Struthio camelus: one gene and its partners. The protein of the gene in region 3 binds, or shares a complex with, the protein of the main gene of each other region. Links are inferred from orthologs where the notes say so. Each region holds a gene or a part of one and is shown on either strand. Other genes may lie near its edges.

Region 1 (7,424 bases), on a different chromosome or scaffold from region 3:
CTGCACCCCAAAAACTCCTCTGAAAAGCTTTTTTCCCCCCAAACTCCCCCCAAATTTCTCCACGCACCTACTTTTCCCTCACAACTGCACCCCAAACCCCTCTGAAAATTTTGGTTTTCCCCCCAAAACTCCCCCGTTCCCCTCTCAACTGCCCCCAAACCCCTCCACACACCCATTTTTCCCTCACAACTGCACCCCAAACCACTCTGAAAAAGCTTTTTTCCCCCAAAACTCCCCCCAAACGCCTCTGCACACCCACTTTTTCCTCACAACTGCACCCCAAACCCCTCAAACTACATTTTTTCCCCTCAAAATTATCCAACACCCCCATGCGTCCAACCTTCCCTTACAATTACACTCCAAACCTCTCTGGAAACTTCGTTTTCCCCCTAAACCCCTACACACACACACTTTTCCCTCAAAATTACACTCCAAACCCGATGAAAACCTTGTTTTCCCCTCAAAATTCTCACCAACTTCTCCACGCATCTACTTTTCCCCTTGTAACCGCACCCCAAACCACTCTGAAAAATCGTTTCCCCCCCAAAATCCTCCATTTTCCCCTCACAATTGCACCCCAAAAACTCTGAAAAGCTTTTTCCCCCTAAAACTCCTCCCGCATCCCCTCCACACTCCCACTTTCCCCTCACAACTGCACCCCAAATCCCTTAGAAAAACTTTTTTCCCTCAAAACGCCCCCAAAACCCTCCACGCACCCACTTTCTCCTCACAACTGCACCCCAAACCCTCAAACCACCTTTTTTCCTCTCAAAACTCTCCCCAAATTTCTCCACACACCTACTTTTCCCTCACAACTGCACCCCAAATTGCTCTGAAAACCTTGCTTTCCCCCAAAATTCCCAAAACCCTCCACCCACACAATTTTCCCTCACAACCGCACCCCAAACCCCTCTGAAAAATTTTCCCCAAAACTCCCCCCAAAACCCTCCACGCACCCACTTTTCCCCTCACAACTGCACCCCAAACCTGATGAAAACTTTGTTTTCCCCTAAAACTCCCCCCAAATCCCTTTACACCATTACTTTTCCCTCACAACCGCACCCCAAACCCCTCTGAAAAATTTTCCCCAAAACTCCCCCCAAAACTCTCTATGCTCCCACTTTCCCCTCACAACTGCACCCCAAACCCCAATGAAAACCTTGTTTTCCCCTAAAACTCCCCCCAAATCCCTTTACACCATTACTTTTCCCTCACAACCGCACCCCAAACCCCTCTGAAAAATTTTCCCCAAAACTCCCCCCAAAACTCTCTATGCTCCCACTTTCCCCTCACAACTGCACCCCAAACCCCAATGAAAACCTTGTTTTCCCTCAAAACTCACCCCAAATCCCTCTACACCCTTACTTTCCCCTCACAACTGCACCCCAAGCCCTCAAACCACTTTCTTCCTCTCCAAACTCTCCCTCACTCCTCCACACACCCGCTTTCCCCTCACAACTGCACCCCAAACTGCAGGAAAACCTTGCTTTCCCTCAAAACTCCCCCCAAATCCCTCCACACACCCGCTTTCCCCTCACAACTGCACCCCAAGCACCTCTGAAAACTTTGTTTTCTCTTAAAACTCTCCCCAAAATCCTCTACACCCCTACTTTCCTGTCACAATTGCACCCCAAGCCCTCAAACCACTTTTTTCCCCTCAAAACTCTCAACTTCTCCACGCACCCACTTTTCCCTTCACAACTGCACCCTAAACCCCTTTGAAAACCTTGTTTTCCCCCAAAATTCCCCCCAAACTCCTCCACACACCCCCTTTCCCCTCACAACTGCATCCCAAATTGCTCTGAAAACCTTGCTTTCCCTCAAAACTCACCCCAAATCTCTCCACACACCTGCTTTCCCCTCACAACTGCACCCCAAGCACCTCTGAAAACTTTGTTTTCTCTTAAAACTCTCCCCAAAATCCTCTACACACCTACTTTCACCTCGCCGCCGCACCCCAAAGCCCTCTGAAAAACTTTTTCCCCTCAAAATGCCCCCCAAAACCCTCTATGCTCCCACTTTCTCCTCACAACTGCACCCCAAACCTCTTTGAAAACCTTGTTTTCCCCCAAAACTCTCCCCAACTTCTCCACGCACCCACTTTTCCCTCACAACTGCACCCAAGCACCTCTGAAAAAAATTTTTTCCCCTTAAAACTACCCCCAAAACCCTCCACCTAAACACTTTTCCCTCACAACCGCACCCCAAACCCCAGGAAAACTTTGTTTTCCCCTAAAACTCTCCCCAAATCCCTCCACGCACCCACTTTCCCCTCACTACCGCCTCCCAAACTCCTTCAAAAAACTTTTCCCCCCCCAAACCCTCTCCCGCACCCCATTTCCCCTCACAACTTCCGCCATCTCCCTCCACCCACACACTTTTCCCTCACAACCGCACCCCAAACCCCAGGAAAACCTTGTTTCCCCCCAAAATCCCTCCACGCACCCACTTTCCCCTCACAACTGCCCCCCAAGCTCCTTGAAAAAAACTTTCCCCCCCAAAAACCTCCTCCCGCACCCCATTTCCCCTCACAACTTCCCCCATCCCCCTCCACGCACCCACTTTTCCCTCACAACCGCACCCCAAACTCGATGAAAACCTTGTTTTCCCCCTCAAAACGCCCCCCCCGCCCCTAACGGCCGCTCCTGAACGGCCCTTGCCGCGCCCCTCCCCCACCCCCCCCCACGCGGGCCAACGGCCGCGCCGCGCGCCCGCCCCTCCCCCTCCCCGGGGCCAACGGTCGCCCGCGGCGCACGCGCACGTACGCGCGCGCCCGCCCCCCCCACTCCCACCCGCGCTCGCGTCCCCGCGTTATCTGCTTCCCTTTCCCCTTCGCCCCCTCCCCGCCGTCTCACCAGCCGGCGGCTCCGCTCGCGCCGCGCGGGGACCCTCCCCCGCGCTCGAGGCTGCCGCGGCTGCGAGACCCGGACGAAGAGACGCGAGGCGACGCCACGCGCCCCCGCCTACCCGCGCGGCCTCCCCTTCCGGCCCCTTCTCTTCCCTTCCCCCCCCCCCTCCTCCGCCCCGCCGCTGACGTCACTTCGGCGCGCGCACGGCCCGCCGGGAAATGAAGTTCCGCCTCCCCGCGGAGCCCATTGGTGGGTTACGAGGCGCCGGACTACAACTCCCGGCGGCCCCCGCGCGCCGGCGCCGCCATCTTGTGGCGGCGGCTGGCCGCCTGCGCGCGGGGCACGCCGGGAGCGGGAGTCCGCGCGGCGCCCGGCTGCCAGCGGCGGGAGGCGGGGCGGGACTACAACTCCCGGCGTGCCTCGCGGCGCCCGCCATCTTGTGGCCTCCACCTTCCCCGTGGAGGAGGGGGGGCGCCCCGTCCTCCTTCCGCGCAGGTGCGGAAGAGGCCGCCGAGCGCCGGCCAATGGGCATCGCCCATGTCCTCGCTCCGCCGCCAACCAATCAGCGCCGGCCGCGCCCGCCGCCAGCCAATCAGCACCGCCCCTCCCGGGCGCCCAGCCAATCAGCGTTACGTGGGCCCAGCGCTGGCCGCTCGCCAGCGTCTGGGCGCTTCGTCCAGCCAATCAGAAGCGCTTCTCCCCCAGGGGGCCCAGGCGTCCGGGTCCCCGAGCCGGCCCCAGCCCCCTCCCCCCCCCCAACGGGGGGCCCAGGCGTCCCCGCCGGCGATGGACCGTTAAAGCCGTTTTTATCCCCAAAAGGACCGAGTTAAGGCCGGTTTTGCCCCCCCCCCCAAGGGCAGATTTAAGCCTATTTTTTGCCCCAGGAAAGGGCCAATTTAGGGCCTTTTTTGCCCCCAAAAGGGCCGAGTTAAGGCTGTTTTTGCCCCCCCCCCCAAAATCGGCCGAGTTAAGTCCGGTTTTGCCCCAGGAAAGGGCCGAGTTAAGGCTGATTTTGCCCCCAAAAGGGCCGAGTTAAGGTGGGGTTTTTTGTCCCTAAAAGGGAAAAGTTAGGATGTTTATTGCCCCAAAAAAGGGCCGAGTTAAGGCCGTTTTTGCCCCAAAAAGGGCCGAGTTAAGGCTATTTTTGCCTGAGGAAAGGGTAGATGTAAGTCCAGTTTTGCCCCTAAAAAGGGCTGAGTTAAGGCCATTTTTGCCCCCAAAAGGGCCGAGTTAAGGCCATTTTTGCCCCAAAAAGGGCAGAGTTAAGGCTATTTTTGCCTCCCCAAAAAAGGGCCGAGTTAAGGCTGTTTTTACCCCCAAAAAGGCAGAGTTAAGGCTGCCTTTTGCCCCTAAAAAGGCCGAGTTAAGGCCGATTATGCCCCAGGAAAGGGCAGAGTTAAGGCGAGTTTTGCCCCCCAAAAGGGCAGAGTAAAGGTGTTTTTTGCCCCAACAAAGGACTGAATTAAGGCTGGTTTTACCTCCAAAGGGGCCGAGTTAAGGTGGTTTTTTTGCCCCTAAAAGGGCCGAGTTAAGGTGGGGTTTTTTGCCCCCAAAAGGGCAAAGTTAAGATGTTTATTGCCCCAAAAAGGGGCCGAGTTAAAGCCATTTTTGCCCCCAAAAGGGCCAAGTTAAGGCCATTTTTGCCCCAGGAAAGGGCCGAGTTAAGGCCGTTTTCCCCCCAAAAGGGCCGAGTTAAGGCCGTTTTCCCCCCAAAAGGGCCGAGTTAAGGCCGTTTTTCCCCCAAAAAAGGGCCGAGTTAAGGCCGTTTTTCCCCCAAAAAAGGGCCGAGTTAAGGCCATTTTTCCCCCAAAAGGGCCGAGTTAAGGCCGTTTTTGCCCCAAAAGGGCCGAGTTAAGGCCGTTTTTGCCCCCAAGAGGGCCGAGTTAAGGCCGTTTTCCCCCCAAGAGGGCCGAGTTAAGGCCGTTTTCCCCCCAAAAGGGCCGAGTTAAGGCCGTTTTTGCCCCAGGAAAGGGCCGAGTTAAGGCCGTTTTCCCCCCAAAAGGGCCGAGTTAAGGCCATTTTTGCCCCAAAAGGGCCGAGTTAAGGCCGTTTTTCCCCCAAAAGGGCCGAGTTAAGGCCGTTTTTGCCCCAAAAAGGGCCGAGTTAAGGCCGTTTTTCCCCCAAAAGGGCCGAGTTAAGGCCGTTTTTGCCCCAAAAGGGCCGAGTTAAGGCCGTTTTTGCCCCAAAAAGGGCCGAGTTAAGGCCGTTTTCCCCCCAAAAGGGCCGAGTTAAGGCCGTTTTTGCCCCAAAAAGGGCCGAGTTAAGGCCGTTTTCCCCCCAAAAGGGCCGAGTTAAGGCCGTTTTTGCCCCAAAAAGGGCCGAGTTAAGGCCGTTTTCCCCCCAAAAGGGCCGAGTTAAGGCCGTTTTTGCCCCCAAAAGGGCCGAGTTAAGGCCGTTTTTCCCCCAAAAGGGCCGAGTTAAGGCCGTTTTTCCCCCAAAAGGGCCGAGTTAAGGCTGTTTTTGCCCCCAAAAGGGCAGAGTTAAGGCCGTTTCCCCCCCAGGCCGTCCCCGCCCTCGTTAACGGCACCAGCTAACGAAGGCGGACGGCGAAGTGGGGGTTAACCCGGCCCGGCGGCATCCGGCCAGGCTCCCCCCACCCCCCCCCGGCCAAGGGGCCCAGGCGTCCGGGCAGCCCTCAGACGGCGCCTCCGCCCCCCCCCCCTCCACCGCCCCCGCGTTGTTGTGGCGGCGCCGAGCGGCGTCCGTGCCAGGCCGGGGGGGTGTCTCTCTCGCACGGAGCCGGCGGCCCCTCGCACGCGCGCGTGCGCTCCCCCCCCTTCCCCTCGCACGCTCGCGCCCGGGGCCAACGCCTCGCACGGCCCCTCGCACGACTTGTGTCCCCTCGCACGCCCCACGGCCCCTCGCACGGCCCCTCGCACGACTTGTGTCCCCTCGCACGCCCCACAGCCCCTCGCACGACCTGTGTCCCCTCGCACGCCCCAAATCTCCTTGCACGTCCCCTCGCACGTCCTTATCCCCTCGCACGGCTCTTTGCAGGCCCCGCGTCCCCTTGCACGTCCCCTCGCACATCCCTTGTCCCCTCGCACGTCCCCTGTCCCCTCGCACGCCCCAAATCCCCTTGCACGTCCCCTTGCACACCACCTGTCCCCTTGCACACCCCAAATCTCCTTGCACGTCCCCTTGCACGCCACCTGTCCCCTTGCACACCCCAAATCTCCTTGCACGTCCCCTTGCACGCCACCTGTCCCCTTGCACACCCCACATCCCCTTGCACGTCCCCTCGCATGCCCCAAATGTCCCCTCGCACGCCCCAAATCTCCTTGCACGTCCCCTCACACGTTCCCTGTCCCCTTGCACGTCCCCTGTCCCCTCGCACACCCCAAATCTCCTTGCACGTCCCCTCACACGTCCCCTGTCCCCTTGCACGTCCCCTGTCCCCTCGCACGCCCCAAATCTCCTTGCACGTCCCCTCACACGTCCCCATGTCCCCTCGCACGCCCCAAATCTCCTTGCACGTCCCCTCGCACGCCCCACGTCCCCTCGCACGCCCCAAATCTCCTTGCACGTCCCCTCGCACGCCCCACGTCCCCTCGCACGCCCCAAATCTCCTTGCACGTCCCCTCGCACGCCCCACGTCCCCTCGCACGCCCCACATCTCCTTGCACGTCCCCTCGCACGCCCCACGTCCCCTCGCACGCCCCAAATCTCCTTGCACGTCCCCTCGCACGTCCCCTCGGCCGCCCCACGTCCCCCGGCCGCGTGCCAGCGCCGGTGCCCCCCCGTCCCGTCCCGTCCCGTCCCGGCGGCGGAGGAGGAGGAGGAGGAGGAGGAGGGGGGGGCCGGGGGGGCCGGGGGGGCCGGGCGAGGGGCCGGCGGAGGCGGGCGAGGAGCCGTGCGAGCGCCATGGAGGTACGGGCGCCCCGGGCCTCCCTCGCACGGGGACGGGACGGGGACAGGGACGGGACGGGGATGGGGACGGGGACGGGACAGGGACGGGGACGGGGACGGGGATGGGGATGGGGACAGGACGGGGATGGGGACAAGATGGGGACAGGGACGGGGACGGGGATGGGGACGGGGACAAGATGGGGACGGGGATGGGGACGGGGATGGGGACAAGTTGGGGACCCGCATGGGGACGGGGATGGGACAGGGATGGGGACAGGGACGGGGACGGGGACAAGATGGGGATGGGGACGGGGATGGGGACGGGGACAGGGACGGGGATGGGGACAAGATGGGGACGGGGACGGGCCAGGTCCCCTTGCACAGGGACCCGCACGGGGACGGGGACGGGGACGGGACGGGGACGGGGATGGGACAGGGATGGGGACGGGGACAAGATGGGGACGGGGACGGGGACGGGGACGGGGACAAGATGGGGACGGGGACAAGATGGGGACGGGGACGGGACAGGGATGGGGACAGGGATGGGGACAGGGACAAGATGGGGACGGGGACGGGGATGGGGACGGGGACGGGGACGGGGATGGGGACGGGGACAAGATGGGGATGGGGACGGGGACGGGGACGGGGACAAGATGGGGACGGGGACGGGGACGGGGACGGGACAGGGATGGGGACAGGGATGGGGACAGGGACAAGATGGGGACG
Region 2 (7,914 bases), on a different chromosome or scaffold from region 3:
GGATTGTCGAGGCCTGGATGGTCACCATGGGGATGTATGGCTCTGGGCATTGTGCTGGGTGGGCACGGTGGGGACGTAGAGCCCTGGACACCCACCATGGGGACATACGGCTCTGGGCACCATGCTGGGGGGGCACATTGGGGACATAGAGCCCTGGATGGCCACCATGGGGACATATGGCCTGGGGCACCATGCTGGGTGGGTACAGTGGGGATGTGGAGCCCTGGATGGCCACCATGGGGACATATGGCCACAGGCACTGTGCTGGATGGGCATGGTGGGGACAGAGAGTCCTGGATGGCCACCACAGAGATATATGGGCCTGGGTACTGTGCTGGGTGGACACCATGGAGACACAGAGCCCTGGATGGGCATCACAGGGCCATATGACCCTGGACACCATGCTGGGTGGGCACCATAGAGACATGTGGCCCTGGGCCACCTTGCTGGGTAGGCACCATGAAGACATCAAGCCTCACATGGGCACCTTGGGGTGGCCCAGTGTGGCGGTGCCCATCCCGGCACCCATGTGCTGTTTGCCACCAGGGCCAGACGTTCACGCGGACGAGCCGGGCGGTGGCACAGAAGCAGCGGGCTGGGCAACGGCGCTGGTGCCTGGTGCTGGTGGGGCTGGCTGTTGGCCTTGCCATCATCATCCTCATCGTGGTGCTGGCACTGTGGCTAGGTGGCACCCGCGCCACCCCCCCTGTGCCCCCCACCGTCACCCGCGCCGCCCCTGGTGGGGACTGAGCCCCCCGGCCTGCCCCCCCGCCAGTGCCTCTGGAGACCCTACAATAACTCGCAACCTGGGACCTGCTTCAGGGAGATTCTACAATAACAAGCCACCAGGATCTGCTTTGGGGGGACCCAGTAACAAACCATGGGGACCTACTTTGGGGAGGCCCTACAATAACAGCTCACCAGGACCCACTCCAGGGAGACCCTACAATAACAAGCCAGTGGGATCTGCTTCAAGGAGACCCTACAATAACAGCTCACCAGGACCCACTCCAGGGAGACCCTACAATAACAAGCCAGCAGAACCCACTCCAGGGAGACCCTACAATAACAAGCTACTGGGCCCACTTTGGGGAGACCCTGCAATAAAAAACCACTGGGTCCTGCTCCAAGAAGACCCTACAATGACAGACCAGCAGGACCCACTCTAGGAAGACCCTACAATAACAAAGCCCAAGCCTGCTTCGGGGAGACACTACCATACCAAGCCAGTGGGACCTGCTCCAAGGAGACCCTACAATAACAAGGCCCTAGAACCCACTCTAGAGAGAGCTGACAATAACCAGGCCCTGCTTTGGGGAGGCCCTACAATAACAAAGCACTGCAGGAAGGGGTGACCCTGACCTGGGGGCACTGCTTGGGCAGGGAGAAATCGCCCTCTGCCAGCTCCGCCTTGGGTGCCCCAATGGGGACGGTCAAGGACCCAGGCATCCGGCAGTGCGGTCCCCACCCTGGGAATGTCACCCATCTCCAGTCCCATCCCCCTGCCCAGGGTGGGGCATGGCAGGACCCCAGGGTGCTGCAGCCTGGTACCACTTCCCTGCACCCCAAGGTGGCCTGGCATCGCCCGGGTACAGGGCACAGCCTGGACCCCTCCTGGGGCACGGCATCCCTGGGCAAGTGTCACCCAGGAATCGCCCTGGCACCCTGTGGCATCGCCCAGGTGCCTGTGGCACAGCCTGGCACCCCCTGCCCAGGTGGGCACCGGAGCCAGGACCGTCTCCACTGTGAGTCTCTTTATAGCCGCTACCGTGATTAAAAAACCAAAACCACTACAGATCCCAGAGTCTGTCCCACTGCTGTAGGTGCCGCAGCCCCACACCTGGGAGGGGACCCCAGGGAAAGGATGGGGACACTGGGGACCCAATGGCCCTGGCCATGCCACTCCAGAGCCCTGGGAGGGGACAAGACGGGAGATGTCGGGTGACGTCCCTGGGGTGGATGGCAACGGGTGAGGCCACGCTGCAGACCCCTGGAGAGCGGCCCCGGTGCGGCCACGCCAGCACCCACGCATGCAGCACCTCGGCACCCACCAGCACGGCCCCGGGGTCCCTGCCAGGCTCCTGGTGCCCCCACCCCATGTCTCAGTATCCCCAGGGTCCCCAATGAGAGCCGCACGCCGGGGACTCGCAGCACCTTTATTGGCATCAAATGCCGACCGGCACCGGCTGACGCTGTCCCCTCCGGGCTGGCAGTGTCCCCCCTGCCGCTGGCACTGCTGGGTGGTGGGGCAGAGCCGGAGGAAGGTGTCCCCATCACCGGGTCCCACGGCGCTTGCTGAGCTCGTCCTGCACCCGCTGGCACAGGGCCCGGCGCAGGGCGGGCTCCAGCGGGCTCCGGGCGCACACCCGCTGCGTCACCTCCTCCGCGCTGTCCGCCTGTGGCGCCCCCACCCCCTGTCAGTGGCACCCGTGGGTGCCCGCCATCCCCCCAGGTTTCCTGCTGCCCCCCATGCTCTGGGGCACCCGCTGCACTTGCTGCGCACTCCACAGCACCTGTCTGCACCCAGGGGCACCCGCCACCCCCATAGCACCCATCTGGGTGCTGGGGCACTTGCCATCCCCCACAGCACCTGCCTGTACCCCAGAGTACCCCCCCCCCAAAGGCACCCACTGCCTCCCGGAGCACCTAAAACCCACTGTCCACCCCTTAAACCTAAAGGCACCCACCTACACCTGGGGCAACTAGCACCCACAGCAGCCCACAGCACCCACCTGCACCCAGCACCCACAGCCCCCCTGCGCCCCAGGGGCACTCACAGCATTGCCCAGGCAGGAGGGGACCCAGCTTCCCCCCAGCGCACCGTGGGACGCCCTTGAAACGCGGTAGCGCAGTGCTGTGGTTAGAGGTGGGGGTACCCGGACGCCTGGGTCCCTGGGGTGCCCACCTGGTGCACGATCACAGCAGTGACGCTCCCGTCGTCCCCCTCGTACTCGAGGCAGAAGAGCCGGGGCCCGCGGGCGTCCGCGGCGGTGGCACCCGCGCTGCTCTCGGCTGGGCTCCGCTCTGCCCCCGCTGCTGGCACCCAGCACCCTGAGCGGTGTCGCGGGGGCACTGGGTGCTCCGAGTATCCTTCATGCCCCAGCCCACCCTAGGGTGCCCCCAGGCACCAGCCCCCCCCCCCAGCCCTCCTTTGGGTGCCCCTCACTCCCCAACCTACCCTAGGGTGCTCCCCATGCCCTAGCACACCTTGGGTGCCCCCCACATCCTGGGACACCCCAGGGTGCCCCTCATGTCCTGGCTCACCCCAGGGCACCCTTTGTGACCCAAACCTCTTCTGGGTGCCCCCCAAGACCCCATCCCTCCCTTAGGTGTCCCCCATCCCCATCCCTCCCTTGGGTGCTCCCTGTACCATGGCCCACCCCAGGGTGCCCCCCATGCCCCACTGCATCCCAGGGTACCCCCTATGCCCTAGCCCACCTTAGGGTGCCCCCCCATGTCTTAGCCTCCCCCTTGGGTGCCCCCACGCCCCAGCCCACCCCGGGGTGCCCCCCCATCCCCATCCCTCCCCTGAGTGCTCCCTGTACCATGGCCCACCCCAGGGTGCCCCCCATGCCCCACTGCATCCCAGGGTGCCCCCCCATCCCCATCCCTCCCCTTCGGGTGCCCACCATGCCCTGGCCCACCCCGGGGTGCCCCCCCACGTCTCAGCCCCCTCCCTCGGCTGCTCCCCTCCCCAGCGTCCCCCCCCCGCCCCCCCTCCCACCGCCGGGGCTCACCGGGGCCGCGGGGCCGGTAGACCTGCTGGTCGGGTCGGCGGGGCCGCGGTGGGGCCGGTGTGTGGCGCTTCCGTGCCCGCCCCCGGGCCTGCCGCACCGCCCGCTCGTAGGCGTCCCTGCACCGGCACCGGCACCGGTACCGGCACCGACCCGCTCAGCGCTGCCGCCCCCGGCACCGGCACCGCGCCGCCGGCAAAGGGGGCCCGGGGGAGGTGAGCGGGAGGAGACGGGGGGTCGGGAGGACATGGGGGACCCGGGGGGGGGGTGTCCCGGTGATGCACTGGGCTCCGGTGGGGGGAGGAGGGGGGCGTCCCGGGGGGATCCCGGAGATGTTTTGGGGTCCCGGGGGGGGGAGACAGGGGCGCTGGAGGGGCAGGAGGGGTCCCGGGGCTCCACTGGGGTCCCGGGGGTGCCTTGGGGTCCCGGGGGGGGGCTTTGGGGCGTCATGGGGCCCTGAGGGGGCCCCGGTGAGGTCCGGGGGGCGGGCGGGGGGCCGCGAGGCGGCCCCGGTGCCGGTACCTGGCGATCTGGTTGCGGCGGATGTGGCGCACGAAGCCGTGGCTCATGTCGAGCCGCCCGCCCGGCCGGCAACGCCAGCCCGCGCCCGCCTCCATCGGCCGCCGCTCCCGGGACCGGCCCGCCGCCGCCGCCGCCCCCTGCAGCCTACCCCCCGCGGGCACCGGCGGTGGCGGGGAGCGGCCGGGACTGTCCCCGGAGCCGGACCCCCGAGGGTGCACGGCGCTGCACACCGCACCCGGTTGGAAAAGGGACGCTGTCTCTTTAAAAGCCCCGCCGGCCGCACCGGCGCCGGTGGGCATGCGCCGCAGCGCCGCCAGCGGGCGGGAGCCGGCGCACTGCGCAAGCGCTAAGGAGGTTCCCCGCCTCCCCCCCCTCCCCGGCTCCGGGCGGATCCCCCGCTCATGCGCGCTAGCGGGGGTGCGGCCGCTACCCTTCCGGATTGGAGCGGCGCATGCGTAGTGCCTGAAACGGCGGTGAAGATAGGGGGCGGTGGAGCGCACGGTCCGTGCTCTTGCGCACGCGCAGTTCTCACTCACGGCTCGGTGCCCCCGCGCCGGCCTGGGGAGGCGCCTGCGCAGTGCCGCCGCCGCGCCTGCGCAGTGCCGCCGCCGCCGCGCCTGCGCAGTGGGCGGCGGGATGTCGAGCCGCGGCAAGCGGGAGCGGGAGCGGGAGGCGCGGGCGGCGCCGCGGGGCTCGGGCGGCGGCGGCGGTTCGTCGTCGTCGTCGTCGCGGGGCTCGTCGCGGAGCCGCCGCGAGGGCGAGGCGGAGCGGTCGCGGGGGCGGCGGGAGGCGGAGCGGGGGCGGGACCGGGACCGGGACCGGGATCGGGATCGGGACCGCGACCGGGACCGGCGGGAGGTGGCAGAGCCCCTCCCCCTCCCGGTGGACCCCGCGCGCATCAAGCGCGAGCCCGGCACCGGCACGGGCGGCGGCACCGGCGGCCCCGGCACCGGCACGGGCGGCGGCAGCGGCGGCCCGGTGCGCATCAAGCGCGAGCGCGAGCCCGACGGTGACTCCGAGCCTGAGCCCGAGCCCACAGGTGGGCACCGGGGGCACCGGGCCTGGGCGGAACCGGGGTGCTGCCGGGGTGGTGCTGGGGGAGGTCTGGGGGTGCACGGGGTGGGGGGGCCGGGGGCTGATGTGGGGGGTGCACGGGGGAAACCGGGGGCTGACGTGGGGGTGCACAGAGGGGACGACCGAGGGTGATGCTGAGTGACCCGAGGGACCGATCTGGGGGTGCGCAGGGGGGTCCTGCTGGGGCCGAGGGTTGTTTTATGTCACTCTGAGGGGGACAGGGGTGTTTTTGGTGTCCCTGCATGGGGACACCACCTGGGGAGGAGGCTGGACGATCCTGGAGGAGCGGGGCTACGCGGGAGGAAGGCCGTGAACGGCGGGGGGCCTGGTACTAATGGGGCTGCGTGCTCCCCGCTACAGTGCGCTATGGCCGCTTCGACCCCGAGGACCAGCGAAGCCGGCACTGCCCCTACCTCGACACCATCAACAAGTGAGCGGGGAGGATCCGTGGGCCAGCCACGGGCACTGGGAGGGCAAGCGGAGCGGCGACCCCAGGGCATGGCTCCCTTGGGGGCTGCCCCATACGCCGCGGCTTTCTCCTTTTCCTGCTTTAGGAGCGTCCTGGATTTCGATTTTGAGAAGCTCTGCTCCATCTCGCTGTCGCACATCAACGTCTACGCCTGCCTCGTGTGTGGGAAGTACTTCCAGGGTGAGTTCTCGCCTCAGGGGCTGGGGTCACTGAGGGGCTCATGCTGGTGGGAGGCTGCCTGGGGTCCGTTGGCATGAGGGGGAGGCAGCCCACGAGTCAGACTGGGAGTTGTTTCTCACCTGTCCCCGCGCGCTTGAGGTTCCTTGAGCGATTCCCTTTGCGGCTTGGGGCCAAACATGCATTTATCCATCCCTCTCTGCTCTGGAGCTTGTGGGATCCCACACTCCCCGTGGCCTCGCTGGCTCCTTCACAGTTGAGGTTTGAGCCCTCGGACGCCTGGGCTGCATGGTCTTGCGTTCCCTTGTTCGCGGCCTGTGTCCCTGATGCTTTCCTCTGCCTCGGCAGGCCGAGGGCTGAAGTCTCACGCCTACATCCACAGCGTGCAGTTCAGCCACCATGTTTTCCTCAACCTGCACACCCTCAAGTTTTACTGCCTCCCTGACAACTACGAGATCATCGACTCCTCGCTGGAGGACATCACGGTGCGGGGACCTTCACAGCGAGGGGCTGGGGGACTGGGGAGGGCTGCTGTGACCCTGCAAGTGGTTTGCTCCTCTGAGCTGCACTGAAACCTGAGGATTTAGGTTCATGTCCCTTGGGCTGTCAGGCTTTGCAAGGCCCAGTGGTGGTGGGGAGCTCTGCACCGAGGTGTCTGAGAGTCTCTGCTCGGTTCCTGCTCGCGTGAAAGGCAGCAGGGTTGTGTGAAAGGGATGAAAGTTTCTTAAGTCTTTGCGATAGAGGGGTTCTGGTAGAACACATGGAAGAGGCAGGAGGGTGGCAAGATCTCCGTCCTGGGAGGGTTTCAGAGCACGGTGCCGCTGGGAACTGCAGCAGTGCCTGCGAGGGGGGCCGGTTGGCTTTGGCTTCCTGGCCTGACGCTGTTTCCCCTCTTCTCTCTCAGTACGTGCTGAAACCCACCTTCACCAAGCAGCAGATCACCAACCTGGACAAACAGGCCAAGCTGTCGCGGGCATACGATGGCACCACGTACCTCCCGGGCATCGTGGGGCTCAACAACATCAAGGCCAACGACTACGCCAACGCTGTGCTCCAGGTACGGGCGCGCGAGGGCCTTTGAGCTCGCCCTGGGGGGAGGTGGAGGAAACCCACTTCCCCCTGGGGCTAGCGGGGAGTGCGTCCCAGCTGATCACCGCCTGTGCGCGCGCAGGCCCTCTCCAACGTCCCGCCACTGAGGAATTACTTCTTGGAGGAAGACAACTACAAAAACATCAAGCGCCCGCCCGGGGACATCATGTTCCTGCTGGTGCAGCGCTTTGGGGAGCTCATGCGGAAGCTGTGGAACCCGCGCAACTTCAAGGCGCACGTCTCCCCCCACGAGATGCTGCAGGCAGTGGTGCTCTGCAGCAAAAAAAACTTCCAGATCACCAAGCAGGGTGAGACAGGCGCCTTGTGCCAACAGGCAGCACTTTCCCTGTGCCAGAGGTGGCCGAGGAGGGTTAGACCCCTCTACGGTGCTGGGTGGAGGACAAGGCTCCTTTGTGCTCTTGCTAGGGGTTCACTGCTGATTTATCATCTGGCTTGCAGGTGATGGAGTCGACTTTCTCTCTTGGTTTCTGAATGCCCTGCACTCAGCCCTGGGCGGCACGAAGAAGAAGAAGAAGAGTGAGTGGAGGATGCTGTGGGATGAAGGCTGCTTTCACGCAGCTGGTTTTAACCTTGGGGCAGCCCCAGCCACCCTGATGTCCCCCTGTGATGCTTATCACCTCTCTTGCTCGATCCTTGCCTGAGAGCGGCCGCGTGGGGGAGCAAAGAGCTGGCTGACAACTTTGCAGCTTGCAGTTGGGTGCGAGGTCTGAGCCTTGTAGGGTGTTGCTGGCTAAAAGAAGATTTTAGCCTCTCTCCTAGCCCTGCGTTGCCCTGTGTGAACACCAGCGCTGAGCCACCTAGACGGTTTTGCACCCTGCTCTGCCTGTG
Region 3 (7,246 bases):
GAAATTGTTTCTATTTGTGAACTTTCTTAGACTCCATACTGTGCTTTAGAAAAAGTACTACTTTCACTTAAGATTGCACTGTGTTTGAGTTTTCCTTGTCCTGGTCTATTATTTAGTGTTGCTGTTGAGTTTCTTTGCTCCTCTTTATGGATTGTGAGTAAACAGTTCTCTGTATATCAAATGTTACTGAGAGTCTGGGAAATAGCAGTGCAGTTCTGCTGCCAAATATATTTTAATGAACTGAGGAAGGATTATGGGAACGTTAAGAGAACCTGGATTTTTCTTGTGGCAGAGCAAGACTATATCAGTTCTCTTTTCCTTTTGTTCTAGCCAAATCTAAGGCGAGCATGAAGCCATCGGATGGGAAAGCCACCTCCCCTACAAAGCAGGCCCTGAAACGTAGGGCAGCTGAGAGTCATCCCTCTGCTGTGGCAGCTGTGAAACCATTGAGCAGCACTGGTGGTGGTGACATGAAGGAGCCTCCAGCTAAAAAAGCAACTGTGGTAAGGACGCTAGCTGAGACAGTTGCTGGTCCCTAGTAAAATTTATGCTTCAGTTTTACCCTCCTCTTGGACAAAAGTTGGAAAAATGGAAAACGGGTGTTCTGTATGTCTTTTGTTCCCTCTTAGGTCCAGTAACGATCTGCAGGGTGGTTGTTGTACCTCTTTATTTTTTATTAGAGGCATGACAGTGTTTTCATAATACTCTAGTATGATTTCTATGTGGTGTTTTCCATTAATGCTGCGCTCTTAAAAAATACGAGGTCGTTGGAAAGCTTGAAGTTAATATCAACTTTTCTCAGGAAAGCCCTGGCTCTGGATTTTGGTTAAGGCTCAGCAATGCCAGAGGAGAAGCAGTGTGGAAGAAGCATCTGCTAAGAAATCATTTACTTGTGTGTCATAAACACTGTCTTGTTTCTTCCCAGGCTGTTGTTCCAGCCCTGCCAGAGGATAACTTGGTCACTATACCTGAAAGAGAAAAACCCAAAGACAGGTGACAACCAAAACTTGTTCTTTTTCTGGGTCACTGTGGCTTTCACTTGAAACATACGTTCTTTCACATGTGGAAAAATTAGAGTTTTGAGATGATTAATGCCAAAATCAAATGAAGAACTCTGCTAGGACAAATCATATGAATGCGTTTTCCAGCAGCGGGAAGGAGTTGTTATTTAGACGCTTCCCTTTAAAGTGCTGCCAGTTGATAGTGTCTTCTTGGGTTATCTGAAAACTTGAATGAAGATGAGATGAAGTTGGAGATGGGTCGGGATGGAGGAAGACCTCTTTCTTTGCAATGGCATTCTCTAGAACCAAACATACATCTGGGCAAAGACTGTTGGAAGAGGAGAGAGAGATGGTATATGAGGATCAACTTCCTGTATTTGGGAGCAAAGTCTGCAGAGCATGTCATGGGAAAAATAACTAAAATAGTAAACAGGTATTTGCAGAGGTTGACTCCTTGACCTCTTAACAGTCAAATTAGTAAATGTGGCACAGTGTCTCTGGCTACAAAAATTGAACCGTCTTTGCCAGATCTCCAGCTGTTCTGTTTTCACAGACGAATCCTCAAACTGAAAATGTATCTGCTAATATTAGTGTATGAGAACCTAAAGTAGCCCCAGCTTGATTGAATAATGATCCCTGTGTAAAGTGTAGGAGGGATTAGCTGCAGTTTTAAGAGCTAGTTGGCAGAAAATGCATCTCTAGTTAAGGAATATCACATACTGATTGTTCTCTTTCTTGTTCTCCCAAGTGCTGAACTGCATATTGTAAGCCAGGCAGATTCTGTGGCACAGTCAGAGGTCTCAAGCTCAACTTCTTCACAAGCAGTGGTAAAGACGCGCCGGTTAAGCTCCACAGGGGCTGGGAAAGCACCTTTATCTGTAGAAGATGACTTTGAGAAGCTTATTTGGGAAATCTCAGGAGGCAAACTAGAAGCAGAAATTGATCTGGACCCAGGGAAAGATGAGGATGACCTCCTTCTTGAACTTTCTGAGATGATTGACAGCTGAACTGCATATTCTTCTGTTTCAAAAAAAAAAAATTAAAACTGTATATTTTGTTGGATACCCTGAGATGATCCTTTTTCTAGCTGAGGCTTTGCAATGAGTCTTAAAGCACAGTTGAACTGGTAGAAATTGGCAATATCTGCACTCAGTTGTCCTAGATTTCCCTGCTGGTCAGAGTTCAAGTCCTGCGCATCCGTTCTGTTACTATTGGTGGCTACCTTCAATATTAAGAGGACAAAGCACTTCTTTATTTCAGACCAGAAAGATGCCCATCTGCAAGCTGTGGTGGTTGTGAATTGATCTACTGAGTCAGTGATGCTCTGAAGGCTTAAACTTAAAGCTTCTTTCCCTGCCTCCCCTGCCCTTGGCAAAACACAACGTTGGGTGTATTTCAAGGTTTTTGCATTCTGATTTCTTGGACAGTTGATGCTAAAGCTTGGAGTTACTATGTCAACTCTTGATTTCTATTTATGTATGCTATCATTTTGACTTTACTCTTTTAGGGCAAATTAATGAAAACGAAGGGGTGGGAGGGAGCAGAATGATTACTTCTTGCATTTTGGACCAAACATGCTGCCAAGGGTGGTGGTTGGAGTCAGTCCATCCAGCCTTACTTCTCCTCGATTATCAGGGATAACACAATGTCAGTGTGAAAAGCAGCAGCTATACAGTACAGCTAGAATACCCTCCCCCCCCCTTTCATTGTACTGTATCAAAGCTTGGGGGTTTTGGTGCTTTTTGCTGAAGTGAATAGGATTCTGGGTTGAGAAGTCAGGATTCCTCTTATAGTCTGCAGTAAATTGGTAAATGAAGAATTGGTTTAAGTGCCTCTTGGTTCCAGGAATCACTCCCCTGAGTTGCTGGCTCTTCTGCTGGGAAGTGACAGCTGCTAGGGCTAACATTAAAACACTGACTGTCAGCTTTATTTGAACTCCTGTTGGCCATGTGGCATCTGTCTGATCGGGTGGTCATTTGTGGCATTGAACCAACAGGAGGCCGGTGCCCAGACAAGCAATCTTGGTACTTGGTACTGCTGCAGGACTGACTGTGCTCTCCTTTTTAGGCATGTCCTGGGGCTCCCTTCCTTTCATCTCCCCTATACCCCCAACGCACCTTTGAGGCTTGAGCTCCATGTAGAAGTACGCATTGGAGTCGGGACGGGAGGTTACTGGCCATCTGAATGCGCAGTCTGAAATTGCGACCCTGCAGAAAATAGCTGAGACTGGGGTCTATTGTGTACCCTGCCACCAGTGATCATTTTCCCTAGCAGATATATTTTTTAATTATTTTCTTAAATTTCTGGAGAACTTTAGTCTCTTCCTGTTATGATTTGTGAAGCTGTAGGGGCCCTCAGGCGTTTGCTGCTGGCAGAGGAAAATCAGCTGTTTAGCTTATTGTAAATATTTTTCTCTTTGGAAGAAAACACTTGTGTGCTTTGATAATCCACTGTGATGTCTTAGTTCCTAGAGGAAAAGTTTGAACCAAAATTAGCAAAGCCCTTTCTGAAGAAACTGCTGTTCTAGTTCCAGAAGGGTCACCAAGTTGGAAACTTCCTACAAAGTGGGCAGGACAGCGCTGCCCTTTATCCTGCTGAAGGACTTTTTCATGATGCGACTTCTGCCAGCTCTGGCTGCTTGTGCACAGACAGAAGTGACTTTGAGGAGGAGAGAAGCACACGTGAGAGACCGTGGTGTGGAAGACTTCCCCCTTGCTTTTTCTCTCCTTGCTGTTGTTTAAGCAGAATATTCTCTTCTGTTGTCAGCCTTTGCCGCCTCTGAGCCGAGAGGCTCTGTCCCTGGAGACGGGATTTTGTGTATGCCATTGTTTCTGTAAATATTTTATTCTTTCATTTTATATTTGTATTCTATTTAAGGTATTGTATTAAATGTAGTCCAGCTCCTCCACGTTCACCATTAGTTGAACTGTTCTACGTGATGGCAGTTACAGGTGTTTTTAAATAAACCTGGCGTAGGAAAGCTGGTGACACGTGGTCTGTCTGCAGCAGCCGGAGGTGTTTGGGGGGGGGGGGGTCTGCCTGCACCCAGAGAGGTGAGAGGGGCCGAGCAGCAGGGGCTGAAGGGTGCTGGAGCCAACCCCTGCCCTGGGCTGGGGTGGGGGGACAGTCCCCTGCACCTCCCTGCTTTGCTAAGCCCCCCAGGGCTGGAGGGGGCCAGTTCCCCAGGCCCCCAAAGGTGGAGGCTAGGACCCTCCTCCCTCATTCCCTGAGGCCCCCTGGTCCTGGGCAGAGAGCTGGGCTGCCCCCCTGAGCTTCCCCCCTCGCCCCAGCCCTCTGGTTACCCTTTTGGCCCCGCACGGAGCAAGTCGAGCGGCGGTCCTCCCGCCGGTCCTAGAGCGGCCGGGCAGCGCGCCAAGTCCTCCCGCAGTCCCAGAGCGCCGCGCGCTCTCCCGGCGTGCCCAGCGGCTTCCGGCGGCGGCGGCGGCTGTGGCGGTGGCGGGAGCGCGTGCCTGGCGGCGGGCCCGGGCGGCGGCGGCGGCGGCGGAGGAGCAGCGGCCATGGCGTACCGCGGGCAGGGCCAGAAGGTGCAGAAGGTGATGGTGCAGCCCATCGTATCCTTCCGCCGGCGGAGAGAGCAGGGCCGCGGCGGCCTCCGCTCCCGGCCGTGGGGGGGTGACGGGGGGGGGGGCGGCGGGGAGGAGCGGGCCGGGCGGCGGGGACGGCGTGTCGTTGCCGGGCTCCGTGCCCCGTGCCGTGGTGCTGCCCTTAACGCTGCGCTCCAGAACCTCATCTTCCGCTACCTGCAAAACGTGAGTACCGGGGCCGGGGGGCGGGACGGGGTTTGGGGGGGTGGGGGGGGGCGAGAGGAGTCCCGGCCCTGGCGAGGGCCTGGAGCTGCTGCCGGGTACAGCAGCGGGTTTGGCTGGTGGAATTCCCCCTCCCCCTCCACACACACGTTTTTTAAAGCCGTTTTCTGGTAGCTGAAGAGCTCGCTATCTTTCGGGTACAGAACAGCAGGTTCCAAGTTGAGGATTTCCTTTACACGTTCACAGGTTACCTCCCTAGTGGGAGTTTGATCATCACGTCACACGAGCAGGGCCGTTCTTCTGTGTCTGTTTTAAAATACAGGCTCGTACATGTGCTTCCACGACTTTTCCAAATCGCTGAGAAAAACATCTTAAAAGATGTCTGAGGACGTGATTGAGACCATATTTGAGAGTTTGTCCTTTGAATGGATGTAGCCATAGAGCTGCGGTGGCTGGTGGTAGTAAGGATCCAGCTGAGCTCTCAGTTTACAGGAGAGAGGAACAAAATTGCTTGGGGTGTTTATGTTCGTATTTTGCTCTCTTCCCCCATCGTTTTGCAGAGGTCCAGGATCCAGGTCTGGCTCTATGAGCAAGTGAACATGCGGATAGAAGGATGCATCATTGTGAGTATCAGGAGGTACCCTTATTATTTCTTTTGTTAGTTTCTCCAGAGTCACAGATTCTATTTCTTCTCGTCAAGGGAAACTAGCACAGATTGAAAGAGCACTCCTTATGCCTCCAGTGAATGGTCTTAATTGTCTAGCCTGTGTCAGCATATTTATTGATAGTTCGTATCACTGTTGCTGAAGTTAAGAGTAGGAGACTGAGCTCGCTAACTGCTTTTGTTGTTGTTTTTTAGGGCTTTGATGAATATATGAACTTGGTTCTGGACGACGCAGAGGAGATTCACTCAAAAACGAAATCAAGGAAACAGCTCGGTATGTCTGTATAACCTAAGCGATGCATGATCTGAAACGTGGTTATTTGAGCCTTCCAAATGGCAGCGCTTTAAAATACACAACATGTGAAGAGTTTTGAGTTTGAAGTATAGTGGAAGGATACTGGCTAGATCTGTGTGCCTGCTCTTTGTTGATTTGGTGGTTTTGTTGGATATACAGGAGAATCTGTCAGTGCCTGAGACCTATTTTCAGCTTTTAAATGTGTGTAACAATGTAAGGTCTGTGCTGCATCTCTCTCTTTTTTCCTGCAGCCAGGGCTGGAGGAGTTCAGGCAAAACTCCTTTCAGCTTCATCTAAAACAGATATCTCTAAGAAATTTTTACACGTGCTGTGCCACCTCTGAGTCAAAGCAAGGAACCACCTAAGTGGTGGTATGTAGTATTTGCCATCTGCTGATGAAGATAAGCAACGGTCTGTGACAAGCGATGTGTTCAGGCTCTTACCGGGGGCATAGTGCTGCTGGGGCGCAGAGCACTAGAATGGAGATTGTGTCTGATACGCTGTAGTGTGAACTGTGCACGTGGGCCATGTGCTGCCAGGCTTGTAGTCCTGTGGTGTGGCCAGCAAGGAAGAGACTGTCTGTGACCGTAGTCTGAAAAAAAAACTCGTCAGTTATCATGTGGGCATCTTCTTGCAAACATCTTTCCCTTTGTGAAATGTTATTTGAAAATATGAGGTTATTCTCAGACCCTGGGATCTTTCTAATTCCCCCTTTCCTTTCTCTGTGTTGCAGGTCGGATCATGTTAAAAGGGGACAATATCACTCTTCTACAAAGTGTTTCTAACTAGAATTTGCTGTTCTTCCCTTAGAACAATAGTTACTGTGCTTCAGAGCGGATAAAGTGCTAGGTCATGGGAACATGAGCTGCTGGTAGATAGGAAGCTACGTGTAGCTGGGGTTGCATGCTGAGGTTAAAATGGTTTGTAGCTTTGTGGGAGTATTTTTTTTTAACTTCGATACCATAAAAGATGTATTTCACAAATAAACATTTTTCATGTTAACTGTAAACATAAATCTGCTTGTTTTCAGTCTCATGTCCTTCTATGAGTGGAGGAAGGGGAGAAATGTGTTTGGGGTTCTTTTCACCATGGGTCTATGCAGTTTCTGATAAGAGAAACAACTCTGTGTTCTGGAACATCAAATCTGCGTTATGTTGACAAGATAGACTTGTTCGGAAAGGATGCTGGAGCCACGTGCAGTCCTTGAGCTTGCGTGGTTCTAGTGAAGTTGTTATAGATTTTCCCCAAGAATACAAGAATATGCAGTTACAGCCCTCAGTGCCCGCTATGACAGCTTCCTGAGACATTTTCTAAACAAAACAACCAACACCTAATTTCTTGAGGAAAAAACACCTAATTTCCTGAGATTTTGTACAGGAGTGCTCCTTGTGCATCAGTCTTTACAAGTTTGTTAGCGGGTTGGCAAGGGAGTTGGGGCTGTAGTATAATAATCTGACATTTGCAAACTTTACTGTTCTTCATGCTTTCAAAGTAACTTTTATCTTCAGATGGAGTTAGT
Region 4 (7,009 bases), on a different chromosome or scaffold from region 3:
ACACGGCTGCACACGGCTGCACTGCGCACACCTGCACACGGCTGCACACACCTGCGCTGCGCACACCTGCACACGGCTGCACACGGCTGCACTGCGCACATCTGCACACGCCTGCACACGGCTGCACACAGCTGCACACGCCTGCACACGCCTGCACACGCCTGCACACGCACGCAGACCGCAGCCCCGGGCCCCCTCCCTTGCCTGTGTCCCGTGTCCCCGTGTCCCGTGTCGACTCCCCGTCTGGGTCGATCCCGTGTCCCCATCCCATGTCCCGTGTCCCCGTGTCCCGTGTTGTCCCCCCGTGTCCCCTGTCTGGGTCCATCCCTGTCCCCATCCCCATCCTATCCCCATCTCCCTCCCATCCCGTGTCCCGTGTCCCCATGTCCGGGGTCCCCCCATCTGTCCCCCCGCCCACGTCCCCGTCCCATCCTTGTCCGTCCCCCGTCCACATCCCCATCCCATCCTGTCCCCGTCCCCGTCCCCCTCCATCCCCATCCCATCCTGTCCCCGTCCCACATCCCCATCCCATCCTGTCCCCCTCCGTCCCTGTCTGTCCCATCCCATCCTGTCCCCGTCCCCGTCCCCCTCCATCCCCATCCCATCCCGCGGGTCCCCATCCCCGTCCCCCTCCGTCCCCGTCCCCGTCCCCATCCCCATCCCTGTCCCCGTCCCCCTCCATCCCCGTCCCCGTCCCCCTCTGTCCCCATCCCCGTCCCCATCCCGTGGGTCCCCGTCCCCGTCCCATCCCGTCCCGCGGGTCCCCGTCCCCCTCCGTCCCCATCCCCGTCCCCGTCCCCCTCCATCCCTGTCCCCATCCCCGTCCCCCTCCGTCCCCGTCCCGCGGGTCCCCGTCCCCGTCCCCGTCCCCCTCCGTCCCGCTCACCGCAGGGTCCCGCCGGTGCCGCGGCGCCCCGGAGCCGCCCTTAAATCGCGGTGGCGGCGCGGGGCCGGGCCGTGTCGTCACGGGGCCGTGGGGCCGGTTCGCCCGGTCCGGCCCGGCCGTGGGCGTGCGGGTGCGACACCGACACGGGACACGGGGACACGGGACACGGGACATGGGGACACGGGACACGAGACACGGGGACACGGGGACACGGGGACACGGGACACGGGGACACGGGACATGGGACACGAGACATGGGGACATGGGGACACGGGACATGGGACACAGGACATGGGGACACGGGGACACGGGATACGGGACACGGGACATGGGACACGAGACATGGGGACATGGGGACACGGGACATGGGACACAGGACATGGGGACACGGGGACACGGGGACACGGGACACGGGGACACGGGACATGGGACACGGGACATGGGGACACGGGACACGAGACACGGGGACACGGGGACACGGGGACACGGGACACGGGGACACGGGACACGGGACATGGGGACACGGGACACGAGACACGGGGACACGGGGACACGGGGACACGGGACACGGGGACACGGGACACGGGACACGGGACACGGGGACACGGGACACGGGGACACGGGACATGGGGACACGGGACACGGAGACACGGGACACGGGACACGGGGACACGGGACATGGGGACACGGGACACGGGGACACGGGACACGGAGACACGGGACACGGGGACACGGGACACGGGGACACGGGACACGGGGACACGGGACATGGGGACATGGGGACACGGGGACATGGGACACGAGACACGGGACATGGGACACGGGGACATGGGGACACGGGACACGAGACATGGGGACATGGGGACACGGGACATGGGACACGGGACATGGGACACGGGACATGGGGACACGGGGACACGGGGACACGGGACACGGGGACACGGGACACGGGACACGGGGACACGGGACACGAGACACGGGGACACGGGGACACGGGGACACGGGACACGGGGACACGGGACACGGGACATGGGGACACGGGACACGAGACACGGGGACACGGGGACACGGGGACACGGGACACGGGGACACGGGACACGGGACACGAGACACGGGACACGGGACACGGGGACACGGGACACGGGGACACGGGACATGGGGACACGGGACACGGAGACACGGGACACGGGGACACGGGACATGGGGACATGGGGACACGGGGACATGGGACACGAGACACGGGACATGGGACACGGGGACATGGGGACACGGGACACGAGACATGGGGACATGGGGACACGGGACATGGGACACGGGACATGGGACACGGGACATGGGACACGAGACATGGGGACATGGGGACACGGGACATGGGGACACGGGACACGGGACACGAGACACGGGACATGGGACACGGGGACACGGGGACACGGGACACGAGACATGGGGACATGGGGACACGGGACATGGGACACGGGACATGGGACACGGGACATGGGACACGAGACATGGGGACATGGGGACACGGGACATGGGGACACGGGACACGGGACACGAGACACGGGACATGGGACACGGGGACACGGGGACACGGGACACGAGACATGGGGACATGGGGACACGGGACATGGGACACGGGACATGGGACACGGGACACGGGACATGGGACACGGGACATGGGACACGGGACATGGGGACACGGGGACACGGGGACACGGCACACGGGGACACGAGACACGGGGACACGGGACACGGGGACACAGCACACGGCACATGGGACATGGCACACGGGGACATGGGACATGGGACACGGGACACGGGATACGGGGACACGGGGGTGTGGGGATGGGGGACACGGGACACACGGGACATGGGGGACAGGGGGGTGTGGGGACGGGGGGACATGAACATGGGGACGGGGGGACGGGGACGGGGGACATGGGAGGGGGCAGAGGGACGTGGGGCCCCATCTGGGGTGGGACTCGGTCCCAGAGCGCTGATCCATCCCCGTCCCCCGTGTCCCCACACCGTGTCCCCCGGGTCCTCGAGACCCCCGTGTCCCCCGTGTCCCTGTGACCCCCGTGTCCCTGTGACCCCCGTGTCCCCGTGACCCCCGTGTCCCCACCCCACGTCCCCCAGGTCCCCGTGACCCCCGTGTCCCTGTGACCCCCGTGTCCCCGTGACCCCCGTGTCCCCCATGTCCCTGTGACCCCCGTGTCCCCGTGACCCCCGTGTCCCCCATGTCCCCGTGACCCCCGTGTCCCCGTGACCCCCGTGTCCCCACCCCACGTCCCCCAGGTCCCCGTGTCCCCCGAGTCCCCGTGACCCCTGTGTCCCCCAAGTCCCCGTGTCCCCCATGTCCCTGTGACCCCCATGTCCCCGTGACCCCCGTGTCCCCACCCCACGTCCCCCGTGTCCCTGTGTCCCCCGTGTCCCCGTGACCCCCGTGTCCCCACCCCACGTCCCCCAGGTCCCCGTGACCCCCATGTCCCTGTGACCCCCATGTCCCTGTGACCCCCGTGTCCCCACCCCACGTCCCCCAGGTCCCCGTGACCCCCGTGTCCCTGTGACCCCCGTGTCCCCGTGACCCCCGTGTCCCCACCCCACGTCCCCCAGGTCCCCGTGACCCCCATGTCCCTGTGACCCCCGTGTCCCCACCCCACGTCCCCCATGTCCCTGTGACCCCCGTGTCCCTGTGACCCCCGTGTCCCTGTGACCCCCGTGTCCCCACCCCACGTCCCCCAGGTCCCCGTGACCCCCATGTCCCCGTGACCCCCATGTCCCCGTGACCCCCGTGTCCCCACCCCACGTCCCCCAGGTCCCCGTGTCCCCCGTGTCCCCGTGACCCCCGTGTCCCCACCCCACGTCCCCTGTGTCCCGCGTGTCCCCCTCCCGCGCCCGGTCGCTCGCGGCGGCCCCGCCCGGGCGGCGATGGGCGGGGGCGGGGGCGCGGCCGGACGCCGGGGCCCCTCCGACGCCTGGGCCCGCGGGCGGCGGCCTGGCCGGGTGCCGCGGGCGCCCCCGGGGGCGGGGCCAGACCAGCGATTCCGTTCGGGGGCGGGGCCAGGGCGGCGGGTCCGCCCCCGGGGGCGGGGCCAGACCAGCGATTCCGTTCGGGGGCGGGGCCAGGCCGGCGGGTCCGCCCCCGGGGCGGGGCCAGGGCGGCGATTCCGTTCGGGGGCGGGGCCAGGGCGGCGGGCTCCGCCCCTGGGGGCGGGGCCAGACCAGCGATTCCGTTCGGGGGCGGGGCCAGGCCGGCGGGTCCGCCCCCGGGGCGGGGCCAGACCAGCGATTCCGTTCGGGGGCGGGGCCAGGACGGCGGGTCCGCCCCCGGGGGCGGGGCCAGGGCGGCTGCTCCGCGCGCGGCGGAAGGGGGCGGGGCCTCGCCGGTTCCCTGGCGCGTGGGGCAGCGGCGGCCGCGATGGTCGGCGGGGCCGGGGGGCTCGTGGGGGGGCCCGGGGGGCTCGAGGGGGGGCCGGGAGCGCCGGGGGGGCCCGGGGGGGCGGGGCGGAGCGGGCCGCGGGGCCGGGGGCGGCGGCGGGCAGCAGCGGCCCCGCGCGACCCCCGTGTCCGTGTCCCCGCAGCTTTTCTACTCCTTCTTCAAGTCCCTCGTGGGCAAAGACGTCGTGGTGGAGCTCAAGAACGACCTCAGGTGAGGACCCCCCCCCACGGGGCCCAGGCGTCCGGCCTCCCACCCCCACGGGGACCCCGGCGTCCGGGACCCCCGCCACGGGGCCCAGGCGTCCGGGACCCACCCCCACGGGGGCCCAGGCGTCCGGCCTCCCACCCCCACGGGGACTCCGGCGTCCGGGACCCCCCCCACGGGGCCCAGGCGTCCGGGACCCACCCCCACGGGGGCTCCGGCGTCCGGCCTCCCACCCCCACGGGGACTCCGGCGTCCGGGACCCCCCCCACGGGGCACAGGCGTCCGGGACCCACCCCCACGGGGGTCCAGGCGTCCGGCCTCCCACCCCCACGGGGACTCCGGCGTCCGGGACCCCCCCCACGGGGCCCAGGCGTCCGGGAACCCCCCCACGGGGTCCAGACGTCCGGCCTCCCCCCCCCACGGGGACCCCGGCGTCCGGGACCCCCGCCACGGGGCCCAGGCGTCCGGCCTCCCCCCCCCACGGGGCCCAGGCGTCCGGCCTCCCCCCCCCACGGGGACCCCGGCGTCCGGGACCCCCGCCACGGGGCCCAGGCGTCCGGGACCCACCCCCACGGGGGCCCAGGCGTCCGGCCTCCCACCCCCACGGGGACTCCGGCATCCGGCCTCCCACCCCCACGGGGACTCCGGCGTCCGGGACCCCCCCCACGGGGCCCAGGCGTCTGGGAACCCCCCCACGGGGTCCAGACGTCCGGGAACCCCCCCCCACGGGGCCCAGGCGTCCGGCCTCCCACCCCTACAGGGCCCAGGCGTCCAGCCTCCCCCCCCCACGGGGACTCGGGCGTCCGGGACCCCCCCCACGGGGCCCAGGCGTCCGGGACCCCCCCCCCACGGGGCCCAGGCGTCCGGGACCCCCCCCCCACGGGGCCCAGGCGTCCGGGTAACTCTCTCTCCCCCCAGCATCTGCGGGACGCTGCACTCCGTGGACCAGGTGAGTGGGGCCAGGGGCCACGGGGGGGGAAGGGGGCTGCGGGGGTCCCGGGGGGGGGCTGGATCCCTCGGTGGGACGGGACCGGGGGGGCAGGTTGGGCCCACGGGGGTCTGTGGGGTGGAGGGGATCGTCGGGGGCAGGACCCTCGGGGTTCCCAGGCCGTGACCCCCCCGCGTCCCCGCAGTACCTGAACATCAAACTGACGGACATCAGCGTCACCGACCCCGAGAAGTACCCGCACATGGTAAGGCCCGGACGCCTGGGTCCCCCGGACGCCTGGGTCCCCCCCGGGCCCCAGACCCTCCGATGCCGGGGTCCCCCGGACGCCTGGGTCCCCCCCGGGCCGGCCGCGGTGCCCCAGGCCCTCCGATGCCGGGGTCCCCCGGACGCCTGGGTCCCCCCCGGGCCCCAGGCCCTCCGATGCCGGGGTCCCCCGGACGCCTGGGTCCCCCCCGGGCCGGCCGCGGTGCCCCAGGCCCTCCGATGCCGGGGTCTCCCGGACACCTGGGTCCCCCGGACACCTGGGCCCAACCACCCTGGACGCCTGGGTCCCCCCCGGGCCGGCCGCGGTGCCCCAGGCCCTCCGATGCCGGGGTCCCCCGGGGCCCCGCTGACGCCCGGACGCCTGGGTCCCCCGCAGCTGTCGGTGAAGAACTGCTTCATCCGGGGCTCGGTCGTGCGCTACGTGCAGCTCCCGGCCGACGAGGTCGACACGCAGCTGCTCCAGGACGCCGCCCGCAAGGAGGCCCTGCAGCAGAAGCAGTGAGCCCGGACGCCGGGGCCCCCCGGACGCCGGGGCCCCGTCACCCCCTCCCCGGCCCGGATGCCGGGGCCCCCACTCCGCTGCCCCCCGTTTCTCTACCTCACCCCGACGCCCTCCCCGAGACCCCCCTGCTCGCCCGGACGCCGGGGTTCACCGCTGCGCCCCAGCCCCGCGGGGGCCGGGGGGGTGAGCCCCGGCGTCCGGGCGGCGGCGGGGCGCAATAAACGCTGGTGACGGGCACCCGGACCTGGCTGTGTCGTGGCTGCGTCCCCGGACGCCGGGGTCCCTCGGGGGGGGGTTGGGGGGTCCCGGATGCCGGGGTCCCTGGTGGGAGGTTGGGGGGTCCCGGATGCCGGGGTCCCGGGTGGGGAGTTGGGGGGCCCTGGACTCCTGGGTGGGGGGAGGGTAACGTTCCCCGGACGCCTGGGTCCCTGGAAGGCGTTGGGGGGGGGGTCTCGGACGCCTGGGTCCCGGGTGGGGGGGGATTGGGGGTCCCCGGAGGACCCGGCTGTTCGCCCGCCGCCAGGGGTCGCCGGACGCGCTCCGTAACCCGCGGTGGCCGCTCTGCCCCGCCGAGCCGCACGGCTCTATGATCCGGGAGCCCGCCCCGCCCCCCTCCTCCCCCCCCCCCCCCGCACACACAGCGCTGACTGAGCCTGCGCAGCGGCAGCAGCCAATCCGGGAGCAGCCCGGGGCGCGGGGCGGGACGGGCGCATGCGCGGGGCGGGGGCAGGCGCTGGCGGCGCATGCGCGGTGCGCGCGGCT

The links.
Region 1: SNRPE (region 3) and SRRM2 share a complex: the UniProt entries of both Homo sapiens proteins name them as parts of the minor spliceosome. The link is inferred for Struthio camelus from reciprocal best matches to the Homo sapiens genes SNRPE and SRRM2.
Region 2: SNRPE (region 3) and USP39 share a complex: the UniProt entries of both Homo sapiens proteins name them as parts of the U4/U6-U5 tri-snRNP complex. The link is inferred for Struthio camelus from reciprocal best matches to the Homo sapiens genes SNRPE and USP39.
Region 4: SNRPE (region 3) and LSM2 share a complex: the UniProt entries of both Homo sapiens proteins name them as parts of the U4/U6-U5 tri-snRNP complex. The link is inferred for Struthio camelus from reciprocal best matches to the Homo sapiens genes SNRPE and LSM2.

Annotation. Positions count from the first base shown.
Region 1 is NC_090973.1:761,989-769,412, reverse strand, and holds the start of SRRM2 (serine/arginine repetitive matrix protein 2), read right to left. Parts: upstream 3,044-7,424; 5' UTR 2,856-3,043; intron 1-2,855. Other genes in the region: MFAP4 (microfibril-associated glycoprotein 4), read left to right, coding at 6,714-6,719. UniProt on the Homo sapiens protein: Required for pre-mRNA splicing as component of the spliceosome. As a component of the minor spliceosome, involved in the splicing of U12-type introns in pre-mRNAs.
Region 2 is NC_090968.1:1,819,791-1,827,704, forward strand, and holds the start of USP39 (ubiquitin carboxyl-terminal hydrolase 39), read left to right. Parts: upstream 1-4,876; 5' UTR 4,877-4,892; coding exon 4,893-5,295; intron 5,296-5,690; coding exon 5,691-5,760; intron 5,761-5,884; coding exon 5,885-5,979; intron 5,980-6,324; coding exon 6,325-6,461; intron 6,462-6,880; coding exon 6,881-7,033; intron 7,034-7,147; coding exon 7,148-7,373; intron 7,374-7,524; coding exon 7,525-7,602; intron 7,603-7,914. Other genes in the region: VAMP5 (vesicle-associated membrane protein 5), read left to right, coding at 547-750; C27H2orf68 (UPF0561 protein C2orf68 homolog), read right to left, coding at 2,274-2,396, 2,906-3,051, 3,738-3,853, 4,257-4,555.
Region 3 is NC_090965.1:6,662,296-6,669,541, forward strand, and holds SNRPE (small nuclear ribonucleoprotein E), read left to right. Parts: upstream 1-4,399; 5' UTR 4,400-4,519; coding exon 4,520-4,573; intron 4,574-4,744; coding exon 4,745-4,771; intron 4,772-5,328; coding exon 5,329-5,391; intron 5,392-5,627; coding exon 5,628-5,706; intron 5,707-6,460; coding exon 6,461-6,516; 3' UTR 6,517-6,742; downstream 6,743-7,246. Other genes in the region: ZC3H11A (zinc finger CCCH domain-containing protein 11A), read left to right, coding at 331-503, 926-993, 1,750-2,008. UniProt on the Homo sapiens protein: Plays a role in pre-mRNA splicing as a core component of the spliceosomal U1, U2, U4 and U5 small nuclear ribonucleoproteins (snRNPs), the building blocks of the spliceosome.
Region 4 is NW_027182645.1:5,175-12,183, forward strand, and holds LSM2 (U6 snRNA-associated Sm-like protein LSm2), read left to right. Parts: upstream 1-4,237; 5' UTR 4,238-4,307; coding exon 4,308-4,310; intron 4,311-4,470; coding exon 4,471-4,538; intron 4,539-5,450; coding exon 5,451-5,481; intron 5,482-5,665; coding exon 5,666-5,725; intron 5,726-6,121; coding exon 6,122-6,247; 3' UTR 6,248-6,489; downstream 6,490-7,009. UniProt on the Homo sapiens protein: Plays a role in pre-mRNA splicing as component of the U4/U6-U5 tri-snRNP complex that is involved in spliceosome assembly, and as component of the precatalytic spliceosome (spliceosome B complex).